4 linked regions of the Lonchura striata genome follow. The protein of the gene in region 4 interacts with the protein of the main gene of each other region in a pairwise test. Links are inferred from orthologs where the notes say so. Each region holds a gene or a part of one and is shown on either strand. Other genes may lie near its edges.

The links.
Region 1: the proteins of SPG21 (region 4) and S100B interact in binary tests that used the Homo sapiens proteins (3 or more experiments, as listed by UniProt). The two-hybrid records come from large-scale screens. The link is inferred for Lonchura striata from reciprocal best matches to the Homo sapiens genes SPG21 and S100B.
Region 2: the proteins of SPG21 (region 4) and PRPS1 interact in binary tests that used the Homo sapiens proteins (3 or more experiments, as listed by UniProt). The two-hybrid records come from large-scale screens. The link is inferred for Lonchura striata from reciprocal best matches to the Homo sapiens genes SPG21 and PRPS1.
Region 3: the proteins of SPG21 (region 4) and CTPS2 interact in binary tests that used the Homo sapiens proteins (3 or more experiments, as listed by UniProt). The two-hybrid records come from large-scale screens. The link is inferred for Lonchura striata from reciprocal best matches to the Homo sapiens genes SPG21 and CTPS2.

Annotation. Positions count from the first base shown.
Region 1 is NC_134610.1:33,263,502-33,271,238, reverse strand, and holds S100B (protein S100-B), read left to right. Parts: upstream 1-4,345; 5' UTR 4,346-4,421; intron 4,422-5,272; 5' UTR 5,273-5,287; coding exon 5,288-5,425; intron 5,426-5,889; coding exon 5,890-6,030; 3' UTR 6,031-6,829; downstream 6,830-7,737. Other genes in the region: LSS (lanosterol synthase), read right to left, coding at 43-121. UniProt on the Homo sapiens protein: Small zinc- and- and calcium-binding protein that is highly expressed in astrocytes and constitutes one of the most abundant soluble proteins in brain.
Region 2 is NC_134616.1:18,597,054-18,605,099, forward strand, and holds the start of PRPS1 (ribose-phosphate pyrophosphokinase 1), read left to right. Parts: upstream 1-4,663; 5' UTR 4,664-4,785; coding exon 4,786-4,907; intron 4,908-7,039; coding exon 7,040-7,223; intron 7,224-7,574; coding exon 7,575-7,673; intron 7,674-8,046. UniProt on the Homo sapiens protein: Catalyzes the synthesis of phosphoribosylpyrophosphate (PRPP) that is essential for nucleotide synthesis.
Region 3 is NC_134604.1:100,639,620-100,647,412, forward strand, and holds the start of CTPS2 (CTP synthase 2), read right to left. Parts: upstream 3,242-7,793; 5' UTR 3,098-3,241; intron 3,001-3,097; exon of another isoform or gene 2,749-3,000; intron 1,664-2,748; 5' UTR 1,642-1,663; coding exon 1,458-1,641; intron 111-1,457; coding exon 1-110. Other genes in the region: SYAP1 (synapse-associated protein 1), read left to right, coding at 3,448-3,655, 6,751-6,869. UniProt on the Homo sapiens protein: Catalyzes the ATP-dependent amination of UTP to CTP with either L-glutamine or ammonia as the source of nitrogen. Constitutes the rate-limiting enzyme in the synthesis of cytosine nucleotides.
Region 4 is NC_134613.1:21,912,035-21,920,390, reverse strand, and holds the start of SPG21 (maspardin), read left to right. Parts: upstream 1-5,047; 5' UTR 5,048-5,139; intron 5,140-7,926; 5' UTR 7,927-7,957; coding exon 7,958-8,020; intron 8,021-8,356. Other genes in the region: CLPX (ATP-dependent clpX-like chaperone, mitochondrial), read right to left, coding at 236-396, 3,887-3,956. UniProt on the Homo sapiens protein: May play a role as a negative regulatory factor in CD4-dependent T-cell activation.

The sequences.
Region 1 (7,737 bases), on a different chromosome or scaffold from region 4:
AACCCCAGGGCACCCACTCCTGGGAGGGGTGTCCAGGTCTACCTGGCAGCAGGAACAGCGGCCCGCCGTAGTCGCCCGCCCAGTGCCCATCCTCGGCCTGCAGCGCTGCGTAGAACCGCATCCCGTTGCGGGCCGCCTCCCGGGCCGAGCCGGCCGCCGGCAGCGGCTGCAGCGTCGCGCCCTGTGGGGAGACAGGGGCAGCTCAGCGCTGCGCCCCGGGCACGGCCCCGCCGCCCCGGCCCGGGCCCCCCGCACCGTGTCCAGCCCGAGGCTGTGCTGCTCCAGCGCCGTCTGCGCTCGCCGCTCCCCGGCATCGCCTTCGCCATCGCCCAGGTAGCGCCAGAGCTGCCGCCCGCCCTCGCAGCGCAGCCGCCAGTCCGGCAGCTCCGTGGCCGCCGCCGAGCGCCAAGGGCCGCCGCGCCGCCGAACCGCCCTGCCGGACACGGGCACCGTGAGCCGCGGCCGCCACCGCCGGGACCCACACACCGCCCCCGCTCTCCATCGCGCCGCCGGCACTCACACGCCGTCCGCCGCCATCGCCGCCCCGACCCCGCCGCCGGCTGGTCCCACATCGCCTCACGGGCGGCAGCCAATGGCGGCGCCCGGCCCGCCCCGTCTCCTCCCGGCCCGGCCCGCCCCGTCTCCTCCCGGCCCGCCCCATCTCCTCCCGCCCGCCCCATCTCCGCCCGGCCCGCCCCGTCTCCTCCCGGCCCTCCCGTCACGGGACAGCCCCGGCAAGCTGCTGGGGCTGCGCCCCTCCGTCGCACATCTGCCCCTGGCACAGGAGTGCCATCCCTTCCACAGACGCCGACAGCCGAGCTGTCCCTTTGGGTGACAGCGCCAGCCCCTAGAGCGACTGTATCCCCCTCCGTGCACCCCCAAAGTCCAGGCGTGCGGTTTCCGTCGTTAATGGAAGTAACAAAACAACTCCGGCCCAGCCTGGTGCCCAGCTCATGTGGGCCACGAGGGACTGGGGAGATGTGTCGGGGTGCAGTGCCAGCCCTGGCACAGCGCACCCTGACCCGCGTGTGCCCACGCTAAACTGGAAGAAAAGCCGTTCCATGTCTGTGCACTGCCCAGAGACAAAAGAGCTACTCACAAATGTTGCACCCATCAACACCCCAGGACAGAAAAATGCCTGTCTATTAATACTTACATATCATTAATACTTACAGTATATAATGCACACTATGAGCTTAATTCAAAATACTCCTCTTCTAGCAAACAGGTCTTCACTCACATCCAAAATAACATCAGGGATTATCTGCAAAGGATGCAATGATTTTATTTGATAATTAAATAATTAATATTGTATTTATTTCATAAACTAGGATTAGGTCACTCAGTTCAGCCCTGGCTGTGTTCAGTAAGAGCAAAATGTTTTTTGGATAGTGCTGGACTTTTCCTGGAGGGAGAATGAATGGGGATAATACATTTGACTTGTGTATCATCCCACTGGTCCTCAGCAGGGAGAGCTGTGCTGCTTCTCTAGCAGTTTATATGAACAGAGAGAACTAGAAGTTCACTGACATGGTTGTTCTATTTGAGGCTTAATAGTCTGTTTATTTTTGGTTTAAAAAAAAAAAAACCTGTCATAATGACTCTGCCCGAAACGAGTTTAATGAAAGTATCCACTTGTCCATGGATGCCAAAATCTTAAGATAATTTATGGTAATATTTGCCTAAGGGGAGTGATGGAGGATGAACAACTTAGTTTTACTTTTCTGTCTCTATACAACCCACCTGCACCAAAAATTTTTAATAATTGCCAAATTCCTGTTATTTAGACCTTGTTTTCATCCACGTTTTTCTGTGTCTGAACCTCATCTGGATTCTGCCAGGAGGTAGCTCACCTCTGGCTGCTGTGTTTGTAGGTGCCAGGGAACCTGCTCCCTGCAAAGCTGCTGTGTGTGCTGGCACTGTGAGTGCAGCCCTGCAGAGGCACAGGCAATTTCTTCACCCTCCCACCCAAATTCCTCTGCTTTCATTACTTTTTTTGTCCCAGTTCAATGACCACTGGCATTTGTCTCATGGTCTGGCAGAGCCTGGCGCCACACACACCCGAGAGACAAAGAAATAGGCTGTCTTTTCTCCTGGTATGAGGAGCCCACATTGTGAGGAGACAGGCAGAGGGCTGAAGTGTTTTGCTCAGCTTTGGGCACTGAAAAACCCTCTTGCTTCTTTAAACACATCAGCCCAAAACTCTGGCGAGGAAGCTCTGACCCTGAGGAAAGAAGCCCCAAGGTTGCACCTGCCTATTCGAAGATCAGAACATGAATTTTAGAATAACAGAAGCTACTCTTTGGGCAGCAGTGAAAGCACCACTCACAGCCCCATACTCATATCCAGACCTCCTGGACTGTCCCAGGCTGGGTTAGGGATGATCCAGGCCAGGAAAACAGCCTTTACAAAGGATATTAGGCCAGATAAAAATCAGGAAAGTCTCTTGGAGCTGCTCATTAGCAGAAGTAGAAGAGGGTCAAGGTTTCTGGTGTTCACATCTGATCCTGCTGCTCCTTCCCACCCTATCAGGACATAATTCCAGATCATCACCTGTAAAATATAGAAGTCGGAATGATTTGGGGAGAAATGGCAGCAAGAATCACCAGGAAAGAGAATTTTAAGATTGTTCAAGTTTTGATCTGTCAAATGCTACTTTTTCTGTTCCATTTTAAGGAAAGGTCACTTTACAGAATGACATCAGAATATGGTTTAAGGAGATGATCTAGGACCTTGTCTCTGACTAGAAAAGGTTTGCTTTAATGCATTTCTTGGCTGAGGACTGAGCTAGAGATCTACCGGATCAAATTTCTATCAACAGAAAAATGCTGTCTCTTTCCTGCTGACAGAGAGCCCCATTTATAGCCAGCTCTTACAGGAATGCAAGTACTCCTGGAAAAAATCAAATAGTGCAAAAATTGCTGACAAAATACCTCCACACTAGAAACACCACTACCTAAAAGCATCCCTGCTGTCCCTGCTAGCCCCACCAGAGCACAGATAACTGTTGTCGTTTGCAATACCCTAAATGCAAGAATTTCAGTGGTCATGTAAATATTTAGTCAACAAATTCAACCTTAATGCTGGAGAAATTATTTTTCCCCAAATCAATTTGAGCCTGTTAGAAAAACTTTTATGAACTGATGTAAGGAAATTATCAATGTAGATGTTTTTGGGAGATTTTTTTTGGGGGGGTTGTTGTTGTTGTTGTTTTGGGGTTTTTTTGATTGTTGGTTTTTTTTTTTCAAGTAACAAAGTCAGTGTCATAGATCAGTAGATTTGGGAAAACTGCCAGGGAATATGTCTGTCCAGCAACAGGGTTTATATAAAAGTGCATTTAATGCCAGTTCATGGTGGCTGCTGGGGCTGGCAGGGGACTTCTGAACAAGTTTTATATCAAGATCCCATTTAAAAGTAAATAAAGAATTTAGGTTTGAGATAACTTTTTAAAGTTTCTAAAAAGACATTTTTTTTTCCTAGTGTGAATCAGTATACAAACAATAACTCATATTTTTCTGAGTTCTGCATGTTGATTTACACATCCCTTCACAGAATTGGTTCAAAACATTTGCAGTTTCACCTGTCTCTGGTGTTAGGTGGCTATTTCTTTAATATTTCAATATTTATTGAACAATACACACAAAAAAGTATAAGTTTTATGCTCACACTGACTGCAAAATGTATGCTTTCACTCCCATGGTATAAATGGCTTTGCACAAGAAGCAAGGCTTTCAGTTTGACAAAGCATTTTATTGGTGGTATGTTTGGTGAAGCAGAGCGAATTGAAATAACCTTATTTTCCCTGTCTGGCCTGACTCTACAATCTTAAAACAGTAGAAAGCAGAAAAAGGGTGTTCAATATTAATAGTGTGCTCCCAATGACCTGTAGTAAACATAGATGTACAAAGAATTGCTATTTTTGCATACTCACTGTTCAGAGCAGAACAGAGCATTCACATCTTTGAATCGCAAGCTTGATTCACATTCTGTGCATTGAAAGACCGATCTAATGAACAGAGAGTAGGCATTCTATATTTGAAAAATATGAACAAATAAATGGCACCATAATAGATTTATTTGTAATGTGTAACAACTGGGTCTAGGGATAATCTCCAAGTGCTTCTTTAAACAAAAAAAAGCTTACTGCAATACATTTTGAAACCGGATATATCCCTATATACGTGTCACTTAGAAAAATTGGCTGATTGCAACTATGCCCCTTACCCCTTCAGAAAACAAAGCGGGCGGCTTTGCAGCAGGCGGGCGGCTCCGCGGGGCGGGCGGGCGGCTCCGCGGGGCGGGCGGCTCCGCGGGGCGGGCGCAGCGCCCCGCCCCTGCCCCGCGGCCATAAGAAGCGGCGGGTCCCCGCGGCGCCCGGCCACGCCGCATCGCCGTGCCGCAGCCCCGCCGGCCGCGGGGAGGTGAGAGGGGCCGCGGGACGCCGGGTGGGTGTCGGCAGGGCAGAACCACCGCTCCACGTACCTCCGATCTGGAGCGCTGCTCAACCTTGCGGACGGCAAGCAGGCAGGGCTGGAGCATGAAAAGGGGATTTTTGTTCGGGTATTTGCTGCCGTGTCTGGTAACTGCTAAGTGGGGGAGGACATCGGCTGTGGGATCAGACTCAGAAGCGTGTGGTGGAGAAACAGTAGCCAGGTCGCAGGGCAGGAGATATTTACCGATGGGATATGAACGAAATGAGTGCCAGGCAATAGGGCTTCTTTATTTTCCCGGCTTTTGGGAAGGTGGGTTGGCAGCTCTCCCTCTTTGATCAGTGTCTCTTTGGTTTGCCCGTTTGTGAAATCTGCAGGGAACGCTGCAATCTGAATTGCTATCATATCCCAAGAGGGTCTTCAGATCAAATATGGGAGAGTGACGTGCTCATTTTGACCTGCTGGCAGTCATCAAAACTGGTTCCTACCGGGTTCCCCTGACTGCTGGGCTGGAGACAGGTCTGCAGGCAGAGGCAAGGCGAGGGGACCTGTGACAGCAGGGACAGCAAAACCATTCTGAAGCCCCAGAGCAGACCCCATGCCTTCTCCTCTCCTGTCTTGTGGCTCTGCTGTTTTCGAGAGCCCCTAGCAGCAGAGTTATGGTCTCTTGTGACCTTCCCCCCGAAGCCAGGGCTGCTGCCAGAGCTTCCCAGCTCTCCCTTGAACGAGGGTCTGACCTTGCTGATCCACGGGCGGAGCCCCAGGGTGGCCGTGCTTCCAAATCCATCGGAATTGCTGGAGCTTGCCCAGGCTGGCGCTCCCAGCGTCCCCTCTGACCGCAGGGCCACGCCACGACCATGTCCGAGCTGGAGAAGGCGATGATCGCCATCATCGATGCCTTCCACCAGTACTCCGGGAAGGAGGGAGACAAGCACAAGCTGAAGAAATCGGAGCTGAAGGAGCTCATCAACAACGAGCTGACCCATTTCCTCGGGGTAAGTACTGCCCTCCCCACAGCCTGGCTGGGCTCAGGGGCCATCCAACAGCCCCTGCACTCCCCTAACTCTGTCTCCCACGGGAAGCCTGCACAGGCAAAGACATTTATTTACACAGCAGGGCATTGAATCCTTTGTCCCAGCTCTACAGAGCAGCAAGATGAGGGGAACAGCCTATATGACAGACTGAGGTGTGGGCTGGACTAGGAAAACTACCTTCCCTGACACGGGGGACAGCCTTGCCCCAAGGGGTTCAAGATGTCACTTCCCAGCACAACAGCTGTAGCTGCAATTCCCTGGGGCACAGGACAACGCCCCACATAGACTGGGAACATCCACAAAATATCTGGGATGTGTCTGAACAGAGATTCAGCCATGAGAGCACTTGGGAAATGGGCACACATTACTGTCTGGGCCTCGCTGTGGTCCTCCTCAGCTTTGGCTGCCTGTTTCTATCCCTTCAGGAAATCAAAGACCAGGAGACTGTGGACAAAGTCATGGAGGCACTGGACTGCGATGGGGATGCAGAGTGCGACTTCCAGGAGTTCGTGGCCTTTATTGCAATGGTCACTGCTGCTTGCCATGAGTTCTTTGAGCATGAGTGAACTGGTGGGAAGCAGGTGAGCCCCTTCTGCTCATGCTGGAGAGAGGCAAGGCAGCATTGCTCCTCCGGGAGAAGGACTGGCTGTGATTACAGACACCTTAGAGTTCAGCTTGCACTAGACTTAAGCAGCTTATTAAAAGTGTTGTGGCTTTGTGAACAAAACCCACTTGTGTGGCTCAGGAAAGGCTATTTATTGGCTAGTGCCCATTGGGCTGGATGCAGTGAGAGAGTGCCTTGCCTCAAGCTCCTTCCCTGCTGTTTTAAGTCAGGAATTTGCATGGGCTAGAAGCAGAGGGATGCTGTGATCCAAGCTTGTGTGCAAAGGAAAAAAAGGAAATTCAAGGGTTGAAGGAAGAGATGATGCAGAGGGGCTGGTTTTGGAAACTTGCTGCCCAGCCCACTGGCCTGAATGGGAAAGCTCCCAGTGACTCCTGTGAGCTCTAGGCATGGCATCAGAAACCAGCTCCTGTCCCATCACAGGTGCTCAGCAGAGCCCACCTATTTCTTGGTACATTGAGACACCCTTGGCTTGCAAGGCAAAGCGTAACAATCTAAAAGCATAACCATCTGACAGCTCAGGCTTTTCACTTATTGATCAACCCTGCTTTTAGCAGCCAGCAGAACTGGAAGCAACAGCATATGAGGCTCCTGCACTGGGGTCAGCTCCTGGGCCTGGGATATGCCTTGACAAGGTGTCCAGGCTCAATCAGAGGGGAAGTGGGAGTGGCCCAGTGTGACCTCAGACCAGGCACAGCCTCCTGAGTGTGTGGAAATGACAAGGAATAAAACATTGGTTTGGCCTCTGGTGAAAAACGTGTCCTTTTGTGCCAGGCTGCTCTGCACTGAGAGAGAAAGGCTGGGGGATAAGGCCTGAAGCACTGCTACAGCTCATCCCCCTGAGGTTCTTGTTGGGCATTGACCCCTCATCTCTTCCCTGGTGTCACTGTAACTGGCCAGACAACCCAGGATTGTCACCAGCACTGTGTTCCAGCTGGCTGCCCATTCTGCCAGGTCTTCGGGGACATAGGGACAAGGGCCCTCTGCAGGATGTGACTGCTGCTACCAGGGTCATCCAGGGGTTTGCAGTGGTGAGCCCTTGCAAAGGCTCAGCTAAACCCAGGACAACCCCCAAAAAGCCTATGCTTCTGCCTCTCCAGTCTGCACCTGCCATCCAGCTCAGCAATACCTGGCAGCTGGGCCTTCCTGGCCTGCAGCACCAACAGTGGCAGATGCACAGCTAAGATGCTCTCAGATGGTACTGGTTTTACCTCATTCCACATACTAGAATGATTTTATGCACAAAATGACATCTTTGGACAGGGACCATCTTGGTATTCTCACCAGCCTCCCCCAAGCTGTGCAAGGGGATGCTCAGGCAGAGCTGGGCACCCAAGGGACAGCATCTTGTACTCCACCTAGCACAAAAAGCCATTTTGCCATCCCAGGGTGGTGCTCACTTGATGAGAAGCAGTTTAGCATCCAAGTTACTTCCACCACATTTTTAACATCCTCCTCAGGTCTTGGTTGAGCTGCTTTCAACAGTGGCACAGACCTGAGGCCATGTGTGAGAACAGTGGATGGAGACCCCATCTGTCTCCATGTCCCCTAGATGAGGCAGGGTACACAGGACTCTGGACCCTCTCTCAAGCCTGAGCCTGAGTCCAGCAAAGGGGTCTGATTTTTCAGTACAAGGGTCTGCCCATGGACC
Region 2 (8,046 bases), on a different chromosome or scaffold from region 4:
TTTTATCCTCATTTAAAGCACAGTGTCTGGATTCCTGTGTGAAATATCCTAACAAATTCCTCACGTGGGCAGTCACAGTGGGGCTGGGCAGGACACCTATGGCTTTCTGTGCACATGGGAGAAGTCTGCCAGGGAGCACAGTCATCTCAGCCTATTTACAGCACCCAAACATGCCTAATATACACCAAAACAGTCTGCACACTTGATAGGAAATTTTTCCAGAGGTTTTTCTGTCATGTTATGTAATTCCATGTCAGGGCATGAGCAGACACCTCATCCCACTGCAGCTGCTGCAAAGCCTCCCAGGCCAGCTGAGACAGTGCCCCTGGCTGTCACCTGTCCCCCACACACAGAACGGATGGAGCAGGGTTTCTGCAGCTGGAATATTAAAGTTATTAAAAGGCAAACACACCATGCCCAAAGTGGCAGAAATTCCAGTGCTGCCCCTCTAAGGTTTGCTGCCAGTGCCAAGAGCTGGTGAGAAGATGAAAGGGCTGGGGACATGCTCGAGGTCAGGACATTTTAAATGCTTTACTAAATCCCACTTTCGAAAAGCATCTTGGAAATACTCCTAAATCTAACCTCTTCCTAAAATCCTAAATCTACACCTCTTCCTAAGGCAAGATGGCTCATTCCTCATATTTTACCTGGGCTCCTTAGGAAGGCACAATAAAAACGCTGAGTGGAAAGATCAGGAACACAAAGGGAACTAGTCAGGATCCTTTAAAAACGATCTCCAAGTCTGTATTGGTTCCAGTGAAGACTTGACAATACCATTTATTTCCCAGAATTTTAGCTTTTTCCCGATAAAAGGTGAGCTTTTCCTTGCTGGGTGTGGTCCAGCAATGTCCTGTGTAACTCTGGGAATATTTACAGTGCTAAGGGTGAGCACCATTCCTAAACTTTCTCCACCAGCCTCTCCTCTCCTTCTGCTCTCATGTCAGTCTACCACCCCTTTTTGGCATCAGCTTTTTAACCTCTACTTTTCAGCCTTCCAACCTTTTTGGTATTTTTTTAATCTCAGCCTCTACTTTTCTATCCATCCTCCCACTCCTTCTCTACTTTACTTTTTTTTGAGGTCCAGCTCCTACTTTCAGCCGCCGAGGCAAAAGGGCAGAGGCCGGTGTTATTTCCATCAAGTGCCACTCATTAACAGAACCGGCTGTGAGGCACTGAAGTCACAAGGCAACAAAAAGAAATAACAACCCTCAGCCACAGACTTTTTTGTATGAAAATGTGCTCTTGATTAACTGCTGGTGGTAATTGAGTGGCAATTGTATGCAGGAAAGTGCCAGGAGGGGGACAAAGGCTCTTGTCTTGATTGGCATTGCCATCAAATTTGATGCTGTTAATGTGCTGCTTGAAACTTCCTGGGAAATTCATTCTCAGCTTATGACACACAGAGGTATTTCTGATTAATTGCACCTCCTTATAATCAGGTAAGTAAAATAGTTGGACGGTAATTTAATTCGCAATTTACAGAACTTGATGGAACAGAGCACCTCAGGCCATAAGCTTGTCCTTTCTGCTTGCCCAGGCCAGCTTGTGCTTGTCCGTACTGTAAAGCACAGGAAAACCAAATAAAATCCTTTTGATTGAAAGGAAATAATTCAATTTGTTGTATTTTGCTTTCAGAATGAGGCTTACCAGCTGCAACGAGGTGCTTTAATTCTGAATAAGAGCATCCACACAAGAGATGAGACACTCCAAAACACTTTCATGATCTCTGATCATTTCCCTGAGCATCCTTTGAATATCCTGACAGAAATCCTGACTCCCAAGCCAGTGCGAATTTGGTTTTCAATGGATGCAACCACACAATCTCTCCTTTCATCCCAAGAACCAGATAAACCTCTCACTCTTCAAAGCTGCTTCTCCTTGTCCCTGCATGGCAAAGCACACTGCTCGTAGACAAGCTGTGGCTGAGGAACCTCCTGAGCGAGTTTTTGCTTTGTTTAACTTAGACTTTGGTGCCTTAAGAGCTTCTCCTTAAGCAAATCTCTGAGGTTATCCTGTTCCAAGAGCTCAGTGAGCTGTTAGTGGAGGTGGACTTTTGTCCTCAGGAACAAAGCCTGACTAATCTACAAAGGCACGGTGGAGGCTGAAATACTGAGGGAAGCAGGTGGGTGTGAAAACACACCTGGCCGCCAGCTCAGAAAGGGAAAAAAAGTATTTTACACATAACAGGTTGCTAGTTCCTGGGTTTAGGATTAAGGATTTAATTCCCTTTTTTTTGGGTCAGATTTTTCACTCCTCCAAATTCCATCTCTGTGATGCCAGGAGGAACATGACAGGAAAGCTTCTTCTAAAGTCCTGCAGAGGGAAGCCCAGGCAGGGCTCATCAGTGAGAGGCATAATTTGGGTGTTTAAATATACCCCCTGCTGCCTTCGGCCTCAGAGTCCCAGTGCCTGGTCCACAAATAAACGTAGATGTTTCTGTTTTCTGTTCCTGGGATGTTGGAGCACAGAAAACTCTCATTCTGTATTCAATTAAATGGAATTTAAAACGAGAGTGGAGCAAATACTTCAAAACCAAGGCGTGCCCCAGATCAAAGGCCTGGAGTCAGCAGTGAATGGCTGCAGTGCTGTGGGTCTGGGGCAAAAATGTGTCTGCTGGAAATTTGGGAGGTATCTTCAATTCCCATCACTTGAACCATGAGGTAGCCACTCTCCAGTGAAATTTTCTTCACTGCTAAGATTAATTTTGTTTGTTAAGATGAGTAATGATTAGCAACAAATTAGAAGCAAAGGGCTATGTTCTTCCTTCCCCATTCCCTGGATTTGTTGTCTGTCACAGCATCTCAAAATTCCTACAGCTACACCAGAAAATAATCAAAATTACCAATATTAATATTCCACTTCCATCAATGCCAAGCATGGGAATTGATTATCTACTTTATGCAGATGAATTCCAAATTTAATGACACTGTACAAAGTGTTATAGAAAACCTCCTCCAAGCATGGTATTGTAGTCAGTAATTTATGGGTCTTTGGGGGGGATAGTGGCAGCAGCACTTGGGGCCAGGAGAGTTTTAAGAAAATAAAGAAAACATGTCCAGACCCACACCCCCTTTTGACTGTGAATGATTTCTTCTAGTTGAATTCTCAAGGACTTGAAGCAAATCAAATTCACTGCAGAAGTTTATTGTCTCTCAGAAATTCAGGTAATATGATTAGGAATTACAAAATTGAATGAAAATTCTGAAAAAGCTGTCTGTGGCTTTTTTTTCTTTTTCCTTAATATTTACATAAATGTGTCAATCTTCCTCCTTCACTTTCTGGGAAAAATAACAAGCACGGGCAGGGAGCGCAGAGTCACTGGCTTGGTGTCATCATTGCCCTGGACTTGCTTGTTGTTGTATGTCTGATAGAAACACAGAAATGTGAGTAATTATCAATTCCTGCACTTTCTGTGACGAACCACAGGGCTTTTTTATTTTGAGGGGATTTATAATATATAAAAACTAAACTGTGAGTGTCATTTCCTTCAAAGCAGTGAAAGGTAATTTGAGATAATTAAGGCTTAGAAAAAGGACATTAACAACCAGAGACTGGATCAGAAATTTAGAAATTTAGAACCACTATAAAAATCACATTAGCGGAATTCTTGGGGGTGTCCTGTGCAGGGCCATGAGTCAGGAGTTTGTGATTCCCTCACAACCCAGGATATTCTATGATTACATTATTTCCAGGTTTAAAGATTAAAAACCCTTAAGCACAATGTTTCATTTCGCTAAGGAGAAATAAATAAGCATAATGCAGTCACATACAAACGGCTAAGTCACAGAAGACTGATTTAGTGTTAGCCCATAGTTAGTTACATAGGTAATTATATATAAGATAGATACACACACATGCATGTATCTATATGTGTATCAGTATGTAATTTGGCACAGAATGGGGTACACAATCCCGATCATAAAGGTGAAAACCGCTCGGGAATGAATCGGCCTGTTAGAGCAGCCCCCGCGGCCGCAGCCGCGACCCGAATCGCAAGAGCCGCTGAAGGGCAGGGCGGGCGCGGGGCTCGGCGCTGCCGCGCGGGCCCGCCGCCGCCCGCTGTCAGCCGGTACCGCCTCACACGCGGCCCGCGGTGACGCCAGCTCCGCGCAGCCGAGGGGGACGGCGGGGGACGGCGGCGGCGGGCGCGGGCAGGCCGGCATGCTGAGGTAACGGCGCGGCGGCGCGGCGGGGCCCGGCGGCGGCGGGAGAGGGGCGGAGCGGGGCGGGGGCGCGGGCGCGGCGCGGCCGGGCCGCAGCGGGGCCGCCGCCGCTCCCGCCCCGGCGCGCGGCCGCCATCATGGCCGCCGGGCCGGCTGCTCCGGCCGCGGCCGCGCGGGACAGGGCCGGCCGCGCGCTCCTGCCGCCGCCGCCGCCCTGGCCAATCGCAGCCCAGGCCGCCGCACAGCGACCAATCGCGGGCCGCCTCCTGCCCTAGGTCCCGCCCCCGGCGGGAGGCTGAGCTCGCCTCCCTTCGTCCTCAAGGGGAAGGAGACGCACCAAGCCACGCCCACTCCTGCTTCGCCCGTTGGCGGAACCACGCCCCTGAGGTATATCAGCCAATGAGAAGCGAGTGGGGGCGTGTCCTAGGGGCGGAGAGGCTATAAAGGGTCGTCGCAGTAGGCGGGAAAGGGTAAGATGGCGGCGTAGAGGGGATCGGTGTGACCTGTGCCCACCGTGCCGCGTCCTCGCAGGAGGCGGGCGGGTCCCCGCGCGGCAGCCGCGGCCGCTGCGTGGCGGAGCGACGAGGAGGAGGAGGAGAAAAAGGGTGCCGCAGCCGCCGCCATGCCCAACATCAAGATCTTCAGCGGTAGCTCGCACCAGGACTTGTCCCAGAAGATCGCCGACCGTTTGGGCCTGGAGCTGGGCAAGGTGGTCACCAAGAAGTTCAGCAACCAGGAGACATGGTGAGGCGAGGCGGGGCGGGGCGCGGTCGCACTACAGCTCCCGGCGGGCCGCGCGGCGCTGCGGCGCTCGGTGCCGCGCGGCCTCCGCGAGGGGGATGATGGGGGCTGTAGTTCGGGGGCGTGCGGTCGGGCCCGGCTGCAGAGACGCGGAGCTGCGCTCGGAGGCATCCCCGGAGCGCTCCCGCCGGACCCCTGCTGCCCCGGAGCCCGCGGGTGCACCGCGCGTCCCCTCGGCCGGACCCGGCTCTCGGTGCCGGCCCGGAGCCACGCGCGGCCCGGGCCGTGCCTCCAGCGGGCCCCACGCGCGCTGCCCCCGCCGCCCTTGGGCCGTCCCCAGCGCCCGGGGCCGCGCGGGGCTCCGGGGCGTGCAGGGTTTGTGTGAGCGGGCCCATGTGGCGAGCGTTGGAGCGGTGCAGTTCGCCATCCCATTCCCCATTCCCCCTCCATCCCAGCGCCGCGAGCCGATGGGATGGCGCATCTCGGAGTTACACCTACACTGATTAGGCTTTTTCATGCTTAAATCTTAACTCTGATGACTCGAGGCTTCGTAACTTTGTGCTTAGCACGTAGTTGGTAACTTTAAACTTCTCTGAGGAGCTTCACAGTCTTAGAAGGTGTCAATAGAATTCTTAAGGAAAGTGGCTCACACCTCCGTGTATCCCACGGTGCATTTGCAGTCACGCAGTCTGTGTCCCTCCAGCTTTGAGACCTAACATTCGCTTTGTTTTATGTATCTGTGCTTTAAGAATCTTGCTGCCATCCTGTGTAAAGCTAAAAAGGTTTAAAGTTGTTCAGAGCTCCTTAAGCTTGTCTTAGAGAATATACTAACCGTGTATACACCACAAAGTGTAATGCAAAGAACCTTGATTGCTCCAACCCACTCCTTCTGGAAGCAGAATTTTTTTTTCCCACAAAAATCCAGGATGTACATGTGACGTACGATATCATGTGCCTCTTGCCATGGGTATTGTTTGTGAAACCTCAGAGGTAGTACAGAGAGGTGTAGAGGAGTTACAAAAAGTTCTATTTGATTTACAGCCCTGGCACTGTTCTCTTTGTTCTTTATTAACTACTCTTACCCATCTAGCTGGCTGCCCAGCAGGTTCCTATGTCAGCAGGTAATACGACTTGAAGACTTAAAAAGCATCTTACTTACCCTAATAAACTGGCAGCAGGTGGTTCCCCAGAAGAGAAAGACTGTTTCAACAGAATAATTCATAGAGTTTTTTGTACCATAAATATCTTAAATCACCCTAATATTGAAGATGACACTTATGTGCCAACTGCTGATAATCACAGTTCCCCAGCAGAGAGTTCTCTTTGGCAGAAACTCTACACAAGAGATGGATGCATCCTGTAAGTCAGTGGGCAGTAAAGATGGCAGCAACTTGCTGATGGATATTGAGCAGTAAGAATAGAAATATATAACAGTCGTCAAAAAAAGTTTGAAGAGATCAGAAAGGTGAGAGAAGGAAATATTTGAGTTAGAACTCTACCCTGAGGGGCTCTGTAAATGAAGTGGCTTCTTTCCCACTCTTTCTGGCTCAGGTGTGTCCATACGTGCACTGGAGCTGGCATTTGCTGCTGGCAAACAGGACCTTTGGCTTGTGTTCAGGCCCTTCATCAGCAGGGATTAGTGTGCACTGCACCCAGGAGAAAATTAACCCCAGAGGCCTTTCCAGAGTGAAAGGCTGGAGTGCTTCTCTGCTGGAGCCACTGCATGGCTGCTATGAGTCTCAATCTGATAATTAGCTGCAGTGTTGCTTTGGTAGCAGTTTGACTTGCCATGATCCTTGCTGCTTTGTACACTGCTGCTTTTAGAGGTGCCTGTGCTTGTGATTCCAGGGGAACAAGGCCTGCTCTGGGCTGTTTACATGCTCAGCTTGTGTTGAGATAGAGTACATGCAGAGTGCTTTTAGCTTTACTGGCTAGACCATTAAATCTGATGAGTGAGAGCTGTAAAACAGCCACTGAGCAAATAAACAGCAGTGTTCCTGCTCAACAGCCTCGATTATCTGGCACTGTCACCCACAGACCTTTGGGGATGTAGTGCCTGGGTTGCTCTGCAGGCACAGGTACTGCCTGTGCTTTGATTTGTGTTTGGCTACAACTGTCTTCTCATCTGTTCCCAGTGTGGAAATAGGAGAGAGTGTCCGTGGGGAGGACGTCTACATTGTGCAGAGTGGCTGTGGGGAAATCAATGACAATCTGATGGAGCTCCTCATCATGATAAATGCCTGTAAGATTGCCTCAGCCAGCAGAGTCACAGCTGTCATCCCCTGCTTCCCTTATGCCCGGCAGGACAAAAAGGACAAGGTAAGGGATGTGGTAAAGGTTTTTGCAGGGAATGCACACCTTGAAAGTCCTGACTGCTGGAGAGGATTTAAATGAAGTTTTGTCGCCTTCTCTGAATATCCAACCTCTGTTCAGTTCATTAAACTTGGGGACATTGGACTGCAAAATGATCTTTTCATAAAGATATAGTTCTTCTTGAAAATAAACTGAAGTCTAATCACTAGCTGATGAGAAGATGCAATGTTAATGAGTGCTCCTTTTAGTAACTGCTTGTGAATCACTGCCTGGAAGCAGAAGGCTGGCATCTTGATGAAGGAGTTGAACTTGTCTTATACTGTTTTGTTTTGTTTTTTTTTTTTTTTCCTGTACAAGAGTCGAGCTCCAATCTCTGCCAAGTTGGTTGCAAACATGCTGTCTGTGGCAGGTGCAGATCACATAATCACCATGGACCTGCATGCATCTCAGATTCAGGTAGGAGCAAAAATCTGGAAGGCACTTAACCAGTTCCAGTCTGAGCCTCTTGCCTGCTTTGCAAGCTTTCCAGTCATTGCTTTTTTGAGATACTGCAGTGATGGAGATGTGGGAGTTTGGGACTGGAGGGGCAGGGGGGTAACAGGTTAACCTGTAAGTGAACGTACAGTTGTTCTTCATCAGACTGAGTGTGCTGAGTCTTGTGTAAATGAACTAGTAAGTGATCAGTACGTCTTTGTTGCCACACAGTGACACTGTTTATTCTTCATTAGACCTTATGTGTCACTCCAGTGTGAGATGGAGATTGTCTTTAAATTCTGAGCAGAGCTTTGTGATACTTAGTGTGTTGTCTTGGAGAAGTGAGCAGTTCTGC
Region 3 (7,793 bases), on a different chromosome or scaffold from region 4:
CTTTCCAGTGGTGATATTGTTATCTTTATAGAGACTGATGTCCAAAAATCTCTCATAATTTCCCAAATCTAAGTCAACTTCTCCACCGTCATTTAATACAAAAACTTCACCTGAAAAAAGAAAGCAAAACAGACAGAAAAACAACAAAATAATCAGAAATTATTAAGCATACAGCAGGAATACCACAGACATCTTAAAACAGAAGAAAGAAAATTAAATTATATATGACAACGACACAACAGTAAAGTCCATACTGCAACCCAATTTGAATAGTCATTCTGTATGACTTAATATCTAAGTCAGTTTTACATCTAATATCCATCTCTCAGATACATATAGTTTTGCAAATAAAATGTAAGTTACATTGCCAAAATATTGAAGTAACATAAATATTTAAATAGCATTTCAACAGCAGAATAATCCTTCACTGAAAGAAAACAACCTCTAGGAATCGTAAATCAGCAACAAATAAAATATTAATTTACTTGCAGGAGAGAAAAACCATGCTTTCATAAGCAGGAATTATTATACATATTCAAAGTATTTCATATAAATTCTTGTTGATTGGATCTAGTTTAATGATTGAGGCTTTGATCAGAAGTAAAGTTATGATGAACAAAACTGCTTCTTCAAACGTAATCACCATTTCGGAGTCAGTTGTTTCAGTATATTTGGTTCACCATGTCCACAGAAAGGGTTATTTCTGACCCTGAAAAATCCACTTAAATACCCTTCAGGTATTTAATACCCTTTTCTCAGCCCTCTAAAGTGTCTCTAAATTCTGAATCTAGTCAACTTCTGACAGAACTCAAGTTACCAGATCTTGAGGTAAGCCTGGAAAGCTCTTCAGAAAAACTGTATATGTTTTGTCATGACCCAATAAATCAATGGCAAAACAAGTTACATTACTAATGCAGAAAATAAAATGTGGACAACAGAAATGTATATCCCATCAAAGCACAGCACTCCAATTCAATAAATTTAGGTTCTCTAAGCTTCACTAATGTTTTTGGCTAGATTTTTTTACTAAAACGAGAAATTAAGGCAACTCTAATGAAAGCACTTATATCAGAAGGCACTGATACCCACAGAACAGCATTCTCAAGTAACTCTTAAGGACTTAAAATTACAAGTAAGTTTCATAGCACTATTTATAAAGGGGTTTTAATCAAGTTGAACTGAAGACAGCATTAACTGAACAAGTCATGCAGCTAGGATTTTCCTAGTAAAGTGGTATTTTATAGAAAGGAAGCATCTGCTCATAACAGTATCTTCAAAAAAACAGGCTTCTGTTTCTTAACTTAGAGCAGACAGTGTCCTTGAGAACACAGAGTAAGCAATAAACTTTCAAAATAATGATAAAACAGGTTGTAAACACCATACTATTGGTTAAAAAAAAATCACATTCTTATAAATACAAATGTTTACGTGTAAGAGAATAACACTTATCTTCATACCATGTTCATATGGTGAAAAGGTTCCAGCATCTATGTTTATGTAAGGATCAATTTTGATTGCAGTGACACGTAGACCACAGGACTTCAGAATGGTGCCAATGCTGCTTGCAATGATCCCTTTGCCAATGCCCGAAATGACACCACCAGTTACCAGGATGTACTTCATTGGAAAATCAGCACACATGCACAGACCTTGAGCTGGAAATCTAAAACAACAAAGATGTACATCTGATGAATGTAAATTCATGTCTGGGAAGATCACACACTCAATCTGTAAAGATCTAAATGGAAATGACCTTCAGCAACATACAATAAAAATTACCATTCTGGAATCTGGGAGCAGGACTCATCTCTCCCAAGTTATACACCACTATATAAGATAACCAGTCTTGTCCCTATCCTAGGTCCTGATGAGGCTGATCAACACACAGAGCTGAGGTATTAATTTGCCGTTCTAGACTGAAAGGGGTGCTGAGTAGCAAATCCATAAAAGGATTTCAAAAACTTTTTACTATTTATACACTTTAGCAAACAAAGGCACCGGTGTTGATCAGATACAAGCTGCATTTTTCCACCCATCTGAAGCAGGATGACACGTATCTCATCTGTAAATGAATTCAATTCCATTCAGGTGGCTGTGGAGGCTAATCACTGAATAGTGACAGCATGGCTTACCTAAAGCAAGAACTCTAGGGCCAAGAAAACCCTTCCTTATTTAAATATCCAATTCATCCAAAACAACAAGCAACAGCACTTAGTTCTAACGGTCCTCAGTATAAATCAAAGCAATTCAGCTGCTGGTATGAAGCAGTAGATACCCAATGAACATTTAAATTCTTCTTTTTATTAAAGTAACATAAATAATGTTTTTTTATTAGATCTTCAGGAGACTGAGTTCAGAAATGGAACAAGGCATGTTATCAATGCTCTTACATTTCTGGTAATAGGAATTAATAAACTATTTGCTTGTCGATATGATCCAAAAGACGACCATAACCATTAAATGCATTTAACTCAGAAGAAAAAGGAACACCAGGGATTAATTTTTCCCTGCCATTTAATATGTAATTCTTTTAACAGCACAGATTTTAAGACTTGGACCCTCTGTTACAGGCTATCCTACCTCTGTTTCAGGCTATTCCTTCAGAACTCAGCCAATTTAGCTGTCAACACTAACATCATAAAACATCTGTCATTTTCAAAGCTTTTTTAAGGAAAACAAAGGGGATAATTTCAACAACAGGATAAATCTTGCGTACATGCCACTTTATAATTCTTAAATCTTGCTTACAGAAACCAAAATGAAAAGTTTGCTGTGATTTGAGCAAAAACGGCGTTATCCCAGCAGCTTCAGGAAACGTGTTTACTTGAAATAGGTACAGAGAACTGCAGGGTCTCTGCAAGTACAACTGCAAGTCACTTGTAAAAGATGAAGGAAATAGAGTTAGGGGAGGGAGCGCTGAAAGCGAATACTGGAAGAAATCTTTTTGCGGACAAGTGGCACACGAATTACTCCGTCCAGCCTTATCTACAGGAGCTGCCGCCTCCAGCAGGGATTTGCGGGCGCCGCACCCCAAACGTGCCGCGCCGCGGGAGCGCTCGGGGCGCTGCGGCCGAGCGGGGAGAGGCCTCAGACTTACGGAGCTGCTAAAGGCGGCTGCTCCCACCGCAGCCCGGCAGCGCAGAGCAGGAGCGCCGAGCCCGAGCGCACCGCCGGCGGGCCGGGGGGACACAGCGCCCGCAGGCACCGCGCCTCCGAGCGGGGCGGGCGAGCAGGGCGCACAGCGGCCGGCACCACCCCTCCGGGCCACCCCTCCGGGCCAGCCGCGGCGCGGCAGGTGCCGCCGGCCCGCTCCGCCCGGGCCCCGCTCCGCCCGGGCCCCGCTCCGCCCCTGGCGGCGGAAGTGGCGCTCGCGGAAGCGGCGGCAGCGGCCGCCCGCGGTTCCGCAGCGGCGCCGGGCCGGCGCAGCGCGGCCGCCGCCCCGCAGCCATGTTGCGCGGCCTGGGCAGCTGGCTGGGGCTGCAGCGCGCCGGCGAGGAGGCGCTGCTGCCCGCCGGCCGCGGCAGCGGCCCCGCGGAGCAGCAGCAGGACCGCGGCGAGGAGGAGGAGGAGGAGGAGGCAGCGCCGGCCGGGCAGGAGCGGGGCGAGCTGCAGGGGGACTCGGAGGCGCTGCTCAGCCAGGCCAAGGGATTCGGCAGTGAGTGTGCCGGGGCCGCCGGCTTTCAGATATGAGCTAAGGAATCAAGGCTGCGAAGGGCCTTTCGTTGTCGCTTCTTTCAGAGCTGTTTCTAAAGGAGCAGCGTTTCTTAAGTATCTGTTCTGTTGGCACTGTGGGAGGAGGTCTGTGTGTACAGATCTGTCTACGTAGAATAATGTACTTCCATTGCACTGTAGGCGTTTGTGTTCTTTTCATAGGAAAATAATGGTGCTTGATGGTTTTGTTGAACATGTCTTGGAATCACAGAATGGTTTGGGTTAGAAAGGACCTTGAAGATAATATCATTCCAACCCCCCTGCTGTGCCTGCTGGGCCAGGCTTAAAGCTCCATCCAGCCTGGCCCTGAACGCTGCCAGGGATGGGTGAAGCTGTAATTTGCTATAAGTAGAATTCCTGCATTGCTGTAGTGAGTTCTTGGATATAATTAATCCATAGTATAGACCTATACTCTAATTACTAAAGTTTTGTTTTAAGGAAGGGGTTTGGGTTTTGGTTTTTTTTTTAATTGATGCTCTGAAATTCTGGATCAGTATGATTTGAGCTGATTCTGTACTGTGCATTGTCTTGAGCAACCAGAATTGCAGCAGTTTAGTCTGTGTAGTGTGCTCAAATACCTGTCTAGTTGTGGTAAATTGATACTAACCTGCTGCTGACTCTGATTATTCTAATCTGCAAACTGTTCAGGAAGGAAAAAGGAATTTGAGTTTCAGAGGAAAAATAGGTATTGACTGTTATCTATATAAAGATCCATTCCATAATTTGCTCTGTAAATGAAAATTTGATTTAGTGTTCAATGGGTCCATTGTCTGTGACACCAGAATAGATTACGGTGGAAAGGCTTTCTTGCTGTTTTAACACATAATCCTAGAAACCTCTGCATGGACAACAATCTGGGTAGCTGTGTAAAAAGAATCTCCTGGCAGATAAAGAATTTTAGTGGTAAAGCAGAAGCCTTATAGACATGATTTTTGCTCATTATCATGCCATTACAGAAATTATGAGCATTTTGCCAGTGTGAATAATAGAAGTATTGCTAGATACATATTCTTAATATAAGCATACACTTGTGAGATGGAAGATGAGTTTTTTGGTCATTTGAAAGTGTTATTTTCCACCACAAATTCTGTTTTTCTAAGGCTAAGTACCACCTTTTCTGCAGTTTTATAAATAAAAAGCTTTTTGCTCTTCAGCAGTTTCAGGACTGGCCAAAACCACTTTATGCAATAATGCCAGAATGTCACCAGACAGCAAATGTCTCTGCACATTTTGCACCTAGAACTGTTGCATACAGGAGAGGTTCCAGGGATACATGAAACAACCAATAAAAGCTGGTGGGGAGTAAGCAGTCCAGTAGGTTGCTGTTTGCTCTCATAAGAGGAATAATGTATTTGTCTATGTCTAAAATATAGAACTTAACCTTTTTTTACTCCTGAATCATGTGGTGGGTTATAAAGCTTGATAATGGGTATAAAAGATGCTAGTAAGTACTTGAAGGATGTTTGGTTACCACCATTCTGTGACTTGTTACAGATAAAAAAAGTTACACATAAAAAATTGTCTTAGGGCTTGGCTAGACCTCTGCATATTTTGGTATTGATTTGTGATATCATTACAAGAGAACATTTTATCCAACCCAGAGAATAGTCAGCTTTCCAAGAAGTGACATCAGTGTTCCAAACTAACTCGTTCTACCACGGGCTAACAACCATGTGTTAATTTTTATTTTTTTTTTCATTATAAGATTATTTTTTACATTTCTAACCCATAGGGAAATAGTATTTTTTGAGAGTCCTTGAGAAGGAGGGTGGTCATTTGTTTGAAACTGAAGTGCTGGGATTTGGTGGGTTTTTTTTGTGTTGGTTGATTTTTTTGACAACTCCTGTATAAAAGGCAAAGGTGATTCTGCATAACTCTATGTATAAATATGTGACTTCTATTGAGCTGACTACCAAGCAGTACTCCAAGGTCCCTTTCTGCAGGGCTGCTCTCCAGACACTCCTCCCTCAATTTACACTCATCCCACATGCAGAATCCAGCATTTCTTCTTGTTAAATTTCATGCCATTGATGTTTGCCCAGATGTTCCAATCTATCTAGATCTCTCTGCAAGTATTTTATTTACCATGGCACTGACACAGTGTATGTACTGGAACTGAGGTACTGCAGTGAAATGCAGTCATTCAGGTATATTAAGTGCTTCTGACATCATGCTATCTGAGAAATAGTACCAATGTTTTCAAATCTTGTCTGTAAGCTGGTACTTGATGTTTCTGAAGGTTTATTACATACATCTTGCTTCTTGCAAGATGCTTCTTGCACATTTGTTCTCCTTATTTAAAATAGAATAATATGGTGCAGATGGCCATGCTATGTGTATGCAGTTCTTTCCCTGCCACCTCTCTTCAGCACTGTTAACAAAAAGAATGTGAATCTTTGAGAATATTCTTCATTGCCGTTCTGAAACTGTTTTCAGAAAATATGGCTCAGAAAAATGAGTGAACAGGACCACAGTGCTTTTCTTTTCCTAAAGAGAGGAAGATAATGCAAAATAGATAAGGGCAACATCAAGGGCATGCTTCTATGTGAAGACTTTTAAAGGAGGTGTTACCTGCCTGAAATTTTTAATGTATTTGCTGCCTCAGTTTATAAGACTTTATTCTGCATGTTGATTTTCTTAAAAAAAAAAAATCTGTTTTAATACTGTAGCTAAGTTACTTTATGGCTTAATGTCTCCAAAACACTTATATGAAATAGGGAAAGACATTGCTTCAGAAAAGTCATTGGAAAGAAGTATTTCAAGGACCATTAGCAATTTTTGATTTAGTAAACAAGGTTTGTGTATAAATATTTGGTTTGCAGAAAGTTGTAATCATCATCATTAAATAATGCAAACTAGAAAAAGATAAATAGAATTTTAGGAGTTTTTTGTAGGCCACAAGCTGGGTTAAGTTATTTTGAAAGAAACTTTTAAGTAGGTATCCAAACGTCTAAAGAGAAGGTAAAATAAATGTAGAAAGAGAACTGGATGTAAAGAAATCTATTCTCAGGTCTTTGTTTTCTTTTTTGTCTGTGAAAGGTTACCTCTTCAATTTTGCCTCTGCTGCTACAAAAAAGATATCTGAGTCTGTTGCTGAAACAGCACAGACAATAAAGAAGTCTGTAGAAGAAGGAAAAATTGACAGTATCATCGATAAGGTAATTTATTTCTAGACACTTGATCTGAAAGATCTGTTTGCTTGCCATTGTTACAACATGTGGCAAATCCGGCATTTGATAACATTTCTTTAAACTGTCTTCAGATATGTCTTTCAAGATACTCTGCATCTCTTGTCATGATGAATGACGTGACTGAAATGTTTATTCATGGTAGAGTTTCCAAAAAACGGTCACCCTGCTTTTCTCAGTGCTGCACCTGTGTTTGTTCAGTTCCCTCAGGATGTTGATAGACTGGAGAAATACCAGAAGGAAATATGAAAAATGCCAATGTAGGTGGAAGGGCTGAAAGAATTTGAGACAGGCAGTTGGGGACTGGTTTCTTTTTGCCCCATGGTTTATTTAGTTTGAAAAACGAATGAGGTAGCTTGCATCTTATAGGCACCTCTGTGCAGAAGTCAGATTTAGCTTGGTATTGTACATATTGTATCCGAGGACTCTAGGGGTATACAGGTACAGTTCCCTAAGAACCAGTGAGCTAATGAAACACCTTGTTACTTGTTCTTTTCCCCACCCTGACCCTGCCCCGTAGTTCTTACCCTCTGTTCCTGTCTGTCAGCTCCAGTTGCTTAACTTGGGCCAGCAAGTGTTCTTCCAGTGCTTTAAGCCACAAACCTGGCAGAAGGAAAAGAACTAAAAAAGAATAAGTGCCATTAAGTGTTCTGTGGTTGCTATTGAGCGATCTGGGAAAGGAAGGGAAAGGGGACCAATCAAAACCATCCCAGCAGTAGTGGGACTGTACATCCAGGAATGTCTGACACACCCTTTTCCTGCTCCTGTCTCAGACATCCCTTCTGGGGAACTACAGCATTGCCTGCTTATCTTTTTAATACAACAGAATCCTACTTCTTGATATAATTAGTGTTCATGTTGTCTTCCATCAAATTAATTTCTGTTATAATCACA
Region 4 (8,356 bases):
TACACTGAACAAAAAGAGCTATAAAACTGGGAAAAGCATTGTGGGATGTTTACAAGCTTTATCTCCTAAAAAATTCCCAATACAGTTTATTTTTTCTTCACTGCCAGTTGCATCAATTTGAAGGACTAGAAATGTCAGGAGTTGGCCAAAATTTCAAGATTAATTTTAAGCAAAAAATAGAAATGCAAGGAACATTTTACATAAACTACTGAAACCCCCAGTGTGTGGAAATTACCTTGCTTCCATCTCCAGAACCATCCTTGCTTGCACCATCCTTTGAAGCAAAATATGCTGGTGTTTCTGAAAAGTTTCTAAGAGGAATTCGTTTTAGAGAACAAGTTTCAAAAGTCCCAAGTTTTCCTAAAACAGGGATGCGTGTACGACCACAAGTAATACCTAAAAAAAAAAAAAAAAAAAAAAAAAAAGAAAAAAATGTAAATACTAAAATACTCCTGTTTTAATGCCATTGCCACCAAATCTCAGAACTGATTTACTTTAAGTGCAGCTTAAAGATTTTGGCAACAGAATTCAGCTCTGAACATACAGATTTTAATTATCCAAAATAGATGATCTTTACCACCTTAATGTTTACCTTGTTGAAAGTTACTTTGGTTGTCCAAAAAAGACCCCAAAATAATTTCAGGTCCTCTAACATCAGACAACTGAGAGTCCTGTTGTGGCATGAAATAGGGAACATCTCAGTTATGAAACTGATCCTCAGAATGATAACCACAATCGACTTACAGCTTCTATTGTGAAATAATTCAACTCCCCGAGAGAAACTTTTGAAGAGTCTCTTTATTATGCAAAGATTAGGTGTTTCAGACTCAATGACTGCACGTCTGGATTTGGCTTTCACTTGGGAACTCCATTAAAAATTAGTTTCCAGGAATTTGAGGCACCTCTTGGCACCAAGAATTGTGCTGAGGAAAACTGAGCAGCCGTGTCCCATTTGGCACTCACCGACGGCCGGCACCGGCAAGCTCAGCGTAATCTTAACTTTGCTAAAATATTTTATTGCCAATATGAAAAAAACCCTCACTGAGAAACTAAACAGCCTTTTCCTCCTCTTGCAACACGGGCAGGATTGCATTTCATGGCAGGGCATGACGTGAGCCAACCTATGTTGTGCTTGTGATTTCAACATCAACAACAGCCTGGAATCTGTATCTCATCTCTCGCATTTCAAGTGGCAAATTTCTCACTTGGCTCGCTGGTTTTGATCAGGACTCTGTGCTCTACTGACAGCAGAGCTATAGAGCAACAATGGCAACTACAGACTTGCTGACAACACATAGTTATAAGGATAAGAGAATCCTATGGAAAAATCCAGAAACTCTTCAAAAATAAAAAAGAAAAATTAGGAATGGCAAGAGAAGCACAGCTCATTTGCTCTGAAAGAAGAAGCAACAACCAAGAGATGGGAGCTTAGCTGAAAGAGGATACTCTGAAAATTCACCTTGTTACTATAATAAGAAGGGAGAAAAATAAAGAAGAAGGAACTTAATTTACCAGGAAAACTCTTACAGGCCTCTTCAAAGTCACAATAAAGATGACAGTCAAATGAGATTTGAAGCTGGTTTATTAACTTACATGCTGCTTAAGATTCCTTAACCTGAAGATGACTTGTACTATTTTTAACATGACTAAAAATTAACCTTTTAAAAATCTCTTTACAGCATTGCTTCTGTCTGTAAACGTGAGGGAGGAATAACAATCAATGAGCTTCCCCATTTTAAATTCCTCTGCTGAGTGCCATTGCAACACATTTTAGATTACAGAGGGTAAGCTATAAAAACAACACAGAAAACTTGAAAACACTGGCTGGCTCTCAGAAGCAGTTGTATTTTTTAACTGAATGTGCAGAGAACTCTGACAACTCTGTGTGCCAAGTGCACTTGTCAGTAAAGAACAAGCTTTGGTGAGTGTTTACAATGCAATAGTTGTTCTGAGCAGCTTAGAAACTGAGAAAAGACCCCTTAAAAATGAAACAATGACCACCTCTCCTCCCTGGAACAAAACCTAGAGTCACACAAGTAACACGGGGGGATTTGACCTGTGGAGAAAGGCTGAAGCACTAACACAAAAGCTGAAACATTTCAGTCCTCATTTTAATTCAGAATGCTCTTGTGAGACAGAAAATGCACTGAGAACTGTATGGGATGAACTATGAAACCTTACACAGCACTGACTACTGAGCTGTGAAGCCTAAACCAGGGGAAAAACATCCTAATACTGCTACGTCAGCTGGTGGCTAAGCGTGTGCTTATTGTGAGGTCTGAGAGGTGTTTTTGGACAAAATATCATGGTATAATTCCACAGTGAAGCAATAAGAAAGTTATCACCACTACTTCCTTGAGTCAATAAGCCCAGAGGGAGATTTCCAAGGGAAATCAACATTCCAGCTCAATGCCTGGCAGCTGCTGCTGATGGATCCAGACTCTGATAAATGTTCCAGTATGTAACAGCTGGCAGGATGTGCTTACACACCTGGCAGGGTGGCTCAGGTGATGTTTTTTTTTCGGAGCACCAACTTCAAAAGATTTGTCCCTGGCAGCCATGGAACCAATCCAGGCGCATTAAGAAATGATGGGAAGCTCCTTAACACCTTATTAACCTTTAATTGATGCTTGACAGAATAAATACTGACTTTTGGGGCAAGCCTGGGGGATCCTGGAGGTATCTACTGCTCAGGAAAGTGACAGGGAAATTGTGACAAACTGTAACTGTCCCACATAACACTCGATTGATTTCACTGATCTGTGCACTCTGAACTCTCTCAAGTTTGCAGCAACCAGCAACAGCAAACAAAGCACCTGGCAGAAGACAAGATTTAATACAAATTTAATATGAAAGACACACTAAAGTAAGATACATTTATTTTTAAACAACTTTCATTGAAAGCTGGTGGTTAAATAATTGTATAGCTCTATCTACATTTTATTCTTATTTGCTCTTTTACATAATCCTTTTGAATCTTAGTTCTGACCAAAAAACCCCTCAAACTTAACAAAAGATAATTCTGTAATGAATTTCAAACAGTGCTTGCTTTGAAGCTGATTGTTTCAGAGGGATTGCGTAGGGCCAGACAGGCTGGATTTGAAAGTACAGGTTAGAACATTTCAGCACGGCTGGTATTCGAGATATAAATGTAAAGTCACCTACAAAGAGTTAACTCGCCTCTTAAGGGCAGTAAACGATCTCTGACTCACCAGGCTATTGCTGAGGGTAGAGTGATTGAAAATATTGTTGCAAAAGTGGCAACAAAGATGTTTTTCAGCACTATTTGGGGGTGCCCTGCTTTCCACCCAAAGCAGCACATTGTTTGTCTGCTCTCAGCACCCCCAAGAATACAAAAAAAAGGGTAAACAAGGAAAAACAGTAAAAAAATAACCTCCCACAGCCCTCAACTTCCAGCGAGCAGCTGGCACAGTCTTGTCCTTCTACCAAGTTGAAAATAATTAATTTTGCTAACTAAACGCATTTTTATGAGAAATATTTCAAGTTTAGGCTACCACACAGGTAGGCTTTTAATTAAGTAAGGCAATTAAGCCATTTTTAAGCCCATGAAACACATTTACTCCCACTGCAGAGTAACACACACTGGCCGACAGCTGCCGAGCATCACTTCTGTAGAAATAAACCCTATTTTCGCATCCCACTTCCCCACAGCGAGGGCGAATTCTCCGATACTTCACAGCGCGTAAGGCTGCCCTCACCCCCACCCGCACCGCACCAGCAACCGGCAAAAAGGAGGGAAAAAGGGGGGAAAGGCCGCCGTGCCCGGCGCTGTCACAGCGCGATAAGGGCAGCGGCGGGGCCGGGCTCCCTCAGGGCCGAGCGCGCCGGGCCCGCTGAGGGAAGGCGGCGGCCGGAGCGCGGTTACCTCTGCGGGCGGAGGGCAGCGTGGAGCCGAACAGGCGGGCGGCGGCGGCGCAGCTGTGGCAGGCGGACATGGTGCAGCGGCCGCGGGCCCGGCCGGCTCCCCCCGCCGCCGACAAGGCCTCGCTGGCGACGGTGCGGCCCCGCCCGCCCCGGTAACGCCTCCGTGACGGCACCGCGCGTCACCGAGGGACTGCAGATCCCAGCGGGCATCGCGCCGCGGCGCGCCCCGCGGGAACGCACTCGCCTCGCGGGGTGGCATGGGAAGTGTAGTCCCAACAGTGAATGGGTGCGTGGGCGCCGCGTGGCATTGCGGGAAATGTAGTCTGCGATCGGCAGCGCCCCCCCCGGCTCTCTCGGTCTGTCCTGGGCACACCGTCCAGGTATGTTTATTCCCGGTGGTTCCGCCCTTTAATTCCTCTTTCCAAATACGATACGAGAGGAATATTTCCCTTAGATCACAGAAATGTGTTTTTTTTAAAGCCTTTCGTGAAAAGATCAGGCTGAGACAGGAGCAAAAAAACTTCAGGCAAACTGAAGCGATTTTGAGAGCGAATGGAAAATGATGCCGTGTGTTGTGGGGCGGTCTTCAATCAGGGAAGAGTATTGTAAAAATACATATTATCTAATTAAGTGTATTCTTTAGGCACGCCTTTGATATATATATAGATATATATAGGTATATATAAGGCATATACACACACCTTATATATACCTATAACTGCAGACAACTGTAGGTCTGTTTCTTTCAGCTCACCTTCAACTCCTATTTATTAGATAGCAATTAAACGGGGCTACTTGACTCCAGCTGTTCATTAGAGGAATGACTCGGTATCACCTGTCGCTCTTCTCAATTAACCTGAGCTGCCCCGCAGCGAACAGATTGCCGGGGAAGCTGCGGCCCATCCCTGGAAGTGTTCAAGAACAGGTTAGACGGGGCTCGGAGCAACGTGATCTGGTAGTCCCTGATCGTGGGCGGGGGGTTGGAACAAAACGACTCTTAAAAACTCCCTTCCAAGGCGAATCATTCCCTGAGTTAACGCGGCTTCCGCCTCGGTAGCGATGGCGGCGGAGCCGCTTCCGCCCCGCCCCGGTCACGTGGGCGGCACGGCGCAGCACCCGGAAGCGGCGGCCGGCGGGAGCTCCCGGCGGGGCGGGACAGCGGCGGCGGCCGCTGGCAGCTCCCGGTGCCGCTGGCAGCTCCCGGTGCCGCTGCTGCTCCCGGTGCCGCTCCTCGTCCCCGGGCCCGGCCAGCCGGTGAGCGCCCCGCAGCCATGGGAGAGGCGGGGGTCCCCGGGCCTGCCGCCGAGCTTAGCGCCCCGCACCGAGCAGGGAGCTCTGAGGGGCCGCGTGGGCGCTGAGGCGAGCGGGGCGGCCCCTGAGGGAGGGAGGGAGGGATGGGCGAGGGTCGGGACGCGGCCCCGCAGGGAGCCCGAAGCCCCCGGGGCCCCGTTTGCTGGGGGGTCTCTCAGGGGAAGGGGCTGCCTCAGCCTGTGCTGAGGGTGTGGGGGTTTGTCCCCTTCTCCCTGCAAAGCTGGGGAGCCAAACGTGGTTGAGGAGGGGGAAGGAGCAGGGGCAGGGTTGGTGGGAGCAGCGCTGGGGCAGAGGGGAAGGTGCTGCCGCCGCATCAGTTAGCCATAAATCTTCTTATGGTCTTGTAAAATCAATAATGAATGGAGTATGTCATTAGTGTAGTGAAATTACTCACAGAGAGACTATTACCAAATGCTCTGAGCACGTCCATAGGTGATTCTTCCAGAGGAATTGTTTTTAAAAGCTTGAAGTTCTTCAGGTTGTTTGGTTTTACGAAAAATGAAACTTGTGTGTTTAGAGGCTGATCATGACCAACATCAGGCTCTTTGTGGTCTGAGTTACCTTCAGTAGCTGAATTCCTGTTTTGAGTTCATGGTTCAGCTTCTCTGTGGCTGGAAATCACATGTAGCTGTTGTTAATGTCAGTTATTTGTGTGTACAAATTTAATGCTGCATTTCTGTGCAAAGGAGAAAAAAAAAACCATTTCAGTAAGAGAACAAACAAGTTTCTTCTTGTGTGGAAAGAAAGGCAGCCCTTAGGAGTGGTGATCTCAGATGCTCCTTCAGAAGAAAGCTGGTGGCAATCAGCCCTGGTGTTAGTGGCCAGTGGCTCACTTCCATGAGTGGTAACAAGTGAACAGGGAAGTTCAAAATTTGCGTTTTGGATGGACTCTAAACTCGCTGTGGTACCAGACAAGGTACAGGGCCAGCACAAAATCCACCTGCACGCTGCCTTTTCCTTATCAGCTGTAATGGCACAGCTCTGTGCTCCCTGCCCCCAGCCATTCGCTCAAGGGTGCTGCAAGACTGAGGTGGCACAAGCAGCGAGGTGATCCCGGCAGGAAGAGGCTGCCAACCCTCTGCAGCAGGAAGAGTCTCCCTCTCCAGCGTGCGGGGCCCTGACCAGGACTTCTGCTTCTTGGTCCAGGGCAAGAGAATGTGTGTTTTAAGGCATTTCCTGCAATTTGTCTGCCATAATTTTGTCACACTGTCGTTTGCTGAAGAGCTTTTAGGAGGCCATTGATGTGTGGTTACAGAAAGGAATTAGTGTGAGCCGTGGTTTCCTCGCTCCAATGGCTGCAGGCCCCCAGCCCAGGAAAGCATCCTTGCACCTGCTCTGCTTTGCAGGTTATTGGAATAAATTCATTTTACCCTTGCTGCAATTTTACCTGCTGCCAGACTTTGATAGTGAGCAGAACAGTTGGTGCAAGCAGCAAAGTGAAACCACACAAATTTGAAATAACAGCCACAGCTGAACAACCCATCTCAAACCTTTGTACATGGGAGGTGTAGCACGTGCTCTGTGGAAGGTGTGTGTTTGTCCTGTAGTTTAGAAAGTATTTTCCCTTTTAAAATTAATATTTTCTTCACTTGGAAGATGGCAAATGTAGACTGAAAGATGAGGAAATTGTAACTCACTGATAATCCAGCTGTAACCCCATAAACTGGTTAAGCTGTTCACCAGCAGCTCTCCTGCAGGGACAAATGAATTGGAGTGACTCACAGAACACAACGAGGTCTTATTTTATGAAGAATTAAGAAACAAAACCTATTGATTTAGACTTGGCAACTGTTAAATAACAAGCGCAAAAGTTTCTTTTTGTCTTTTCACGGTGCTGTGTGTGAATTCATGAAAATAATCTCCCAAGGCAGCTGGCTTTCAGGGTGAAGCTATTGAGTCTGCAAACTTCAGAAGTGTTTGATGACATTTGTTGTATAAATGGAAGCTAATGGTTTCTTGCTGCTTAAAAAAAAAACCCAAACAATTAAATCTTGGAGCTACGTCAGTGTTTATTACTAATTAATGGAGTATTATAAGATACTCATTATGTATGCTTGGACATTCTGGCTGGGGAATGAATTAGTAGCATTCCTATGTGGACCCAACTCAGAATCAATTTGTGCTGTATTAATTGGTGTGCTTCAAGTATTTCTTCATTGGTAACTCCTGACAAGAGCCTGCTTCCATGTGGATAGAATTAAAATTTCAAGGATTTTCTGTAAATTAAGCCTCGGATCAGGTGATGTTCCTGATGTGCTCTGGGACTCGTTTGGATCAGTTATACTCAGATGGAAAAACGAGACCTGAATACTGAGTGGGTTCATGAAATAATGTCTGTGGTGTGAATTCCTGAGTGAATTGTATGAATATTTATTAGCTATAAACTTGGAGTGCCTTATCAATTTAAAAGAAACCAAGAACATGCTTTAGGTTTTTTAGCCACTTACAGCCTGAAACACAATTGACTTTCTCTGCAGCTGTCACACGGGAATGCTTCTACAGAAACATCATCATTTCATAATTAGGTTGGTGCAGTAAGGCAGTCAGGTGACTGCCTCCTGGGAGAATAATTGCATGGTTTGAGCAAAAGTGAACTTGGTGTGAGTCAGAGGTAGTGCCATCAACTGATAAGAGCAAATCAGCCTGCACTGCTTTATTTACATAGCACAGCTTTTGAGAGTGGCCCACGGTGAAACTGTGCTATTGATTTCTCATTCTCTCTCTTTTCAGGCTGACCCAAACTGAGATTTTTCTAAACATCATGGGAGAGATTAAAGTCTCTCCTGACTATAACTGGTTCAGAAGCACAGTTCCTCTTAAAAAGGTATGTACATCTTGTAGGTGAAATATCCTCTCATGTTTTAGGGGGAGAGACTCAATGTGATTAATGCAGAGCAGTTGTGGCTGTGCTGCTGAGCTGCTTTATCTCCTGAACTGTTGTCCCACATGTCATGTGAGTGCATGAAAGCACACCCTTCATCTTCACATGCTTCTTGGAGGTCACTTCTGCCTGTGCTGGGGAGCAGAGGCTCCCAGCTGTGAGCTGTGGCAGCAGTACCTGCCATCCCAGTGCCAGCCCTGCCTGAGGAGGGGGCTCCAAGGGAGTGCTGCGTGCTGGGCATCACATCTGTGGCCTCTCAGAGCTGCCTGGGAGCACTGG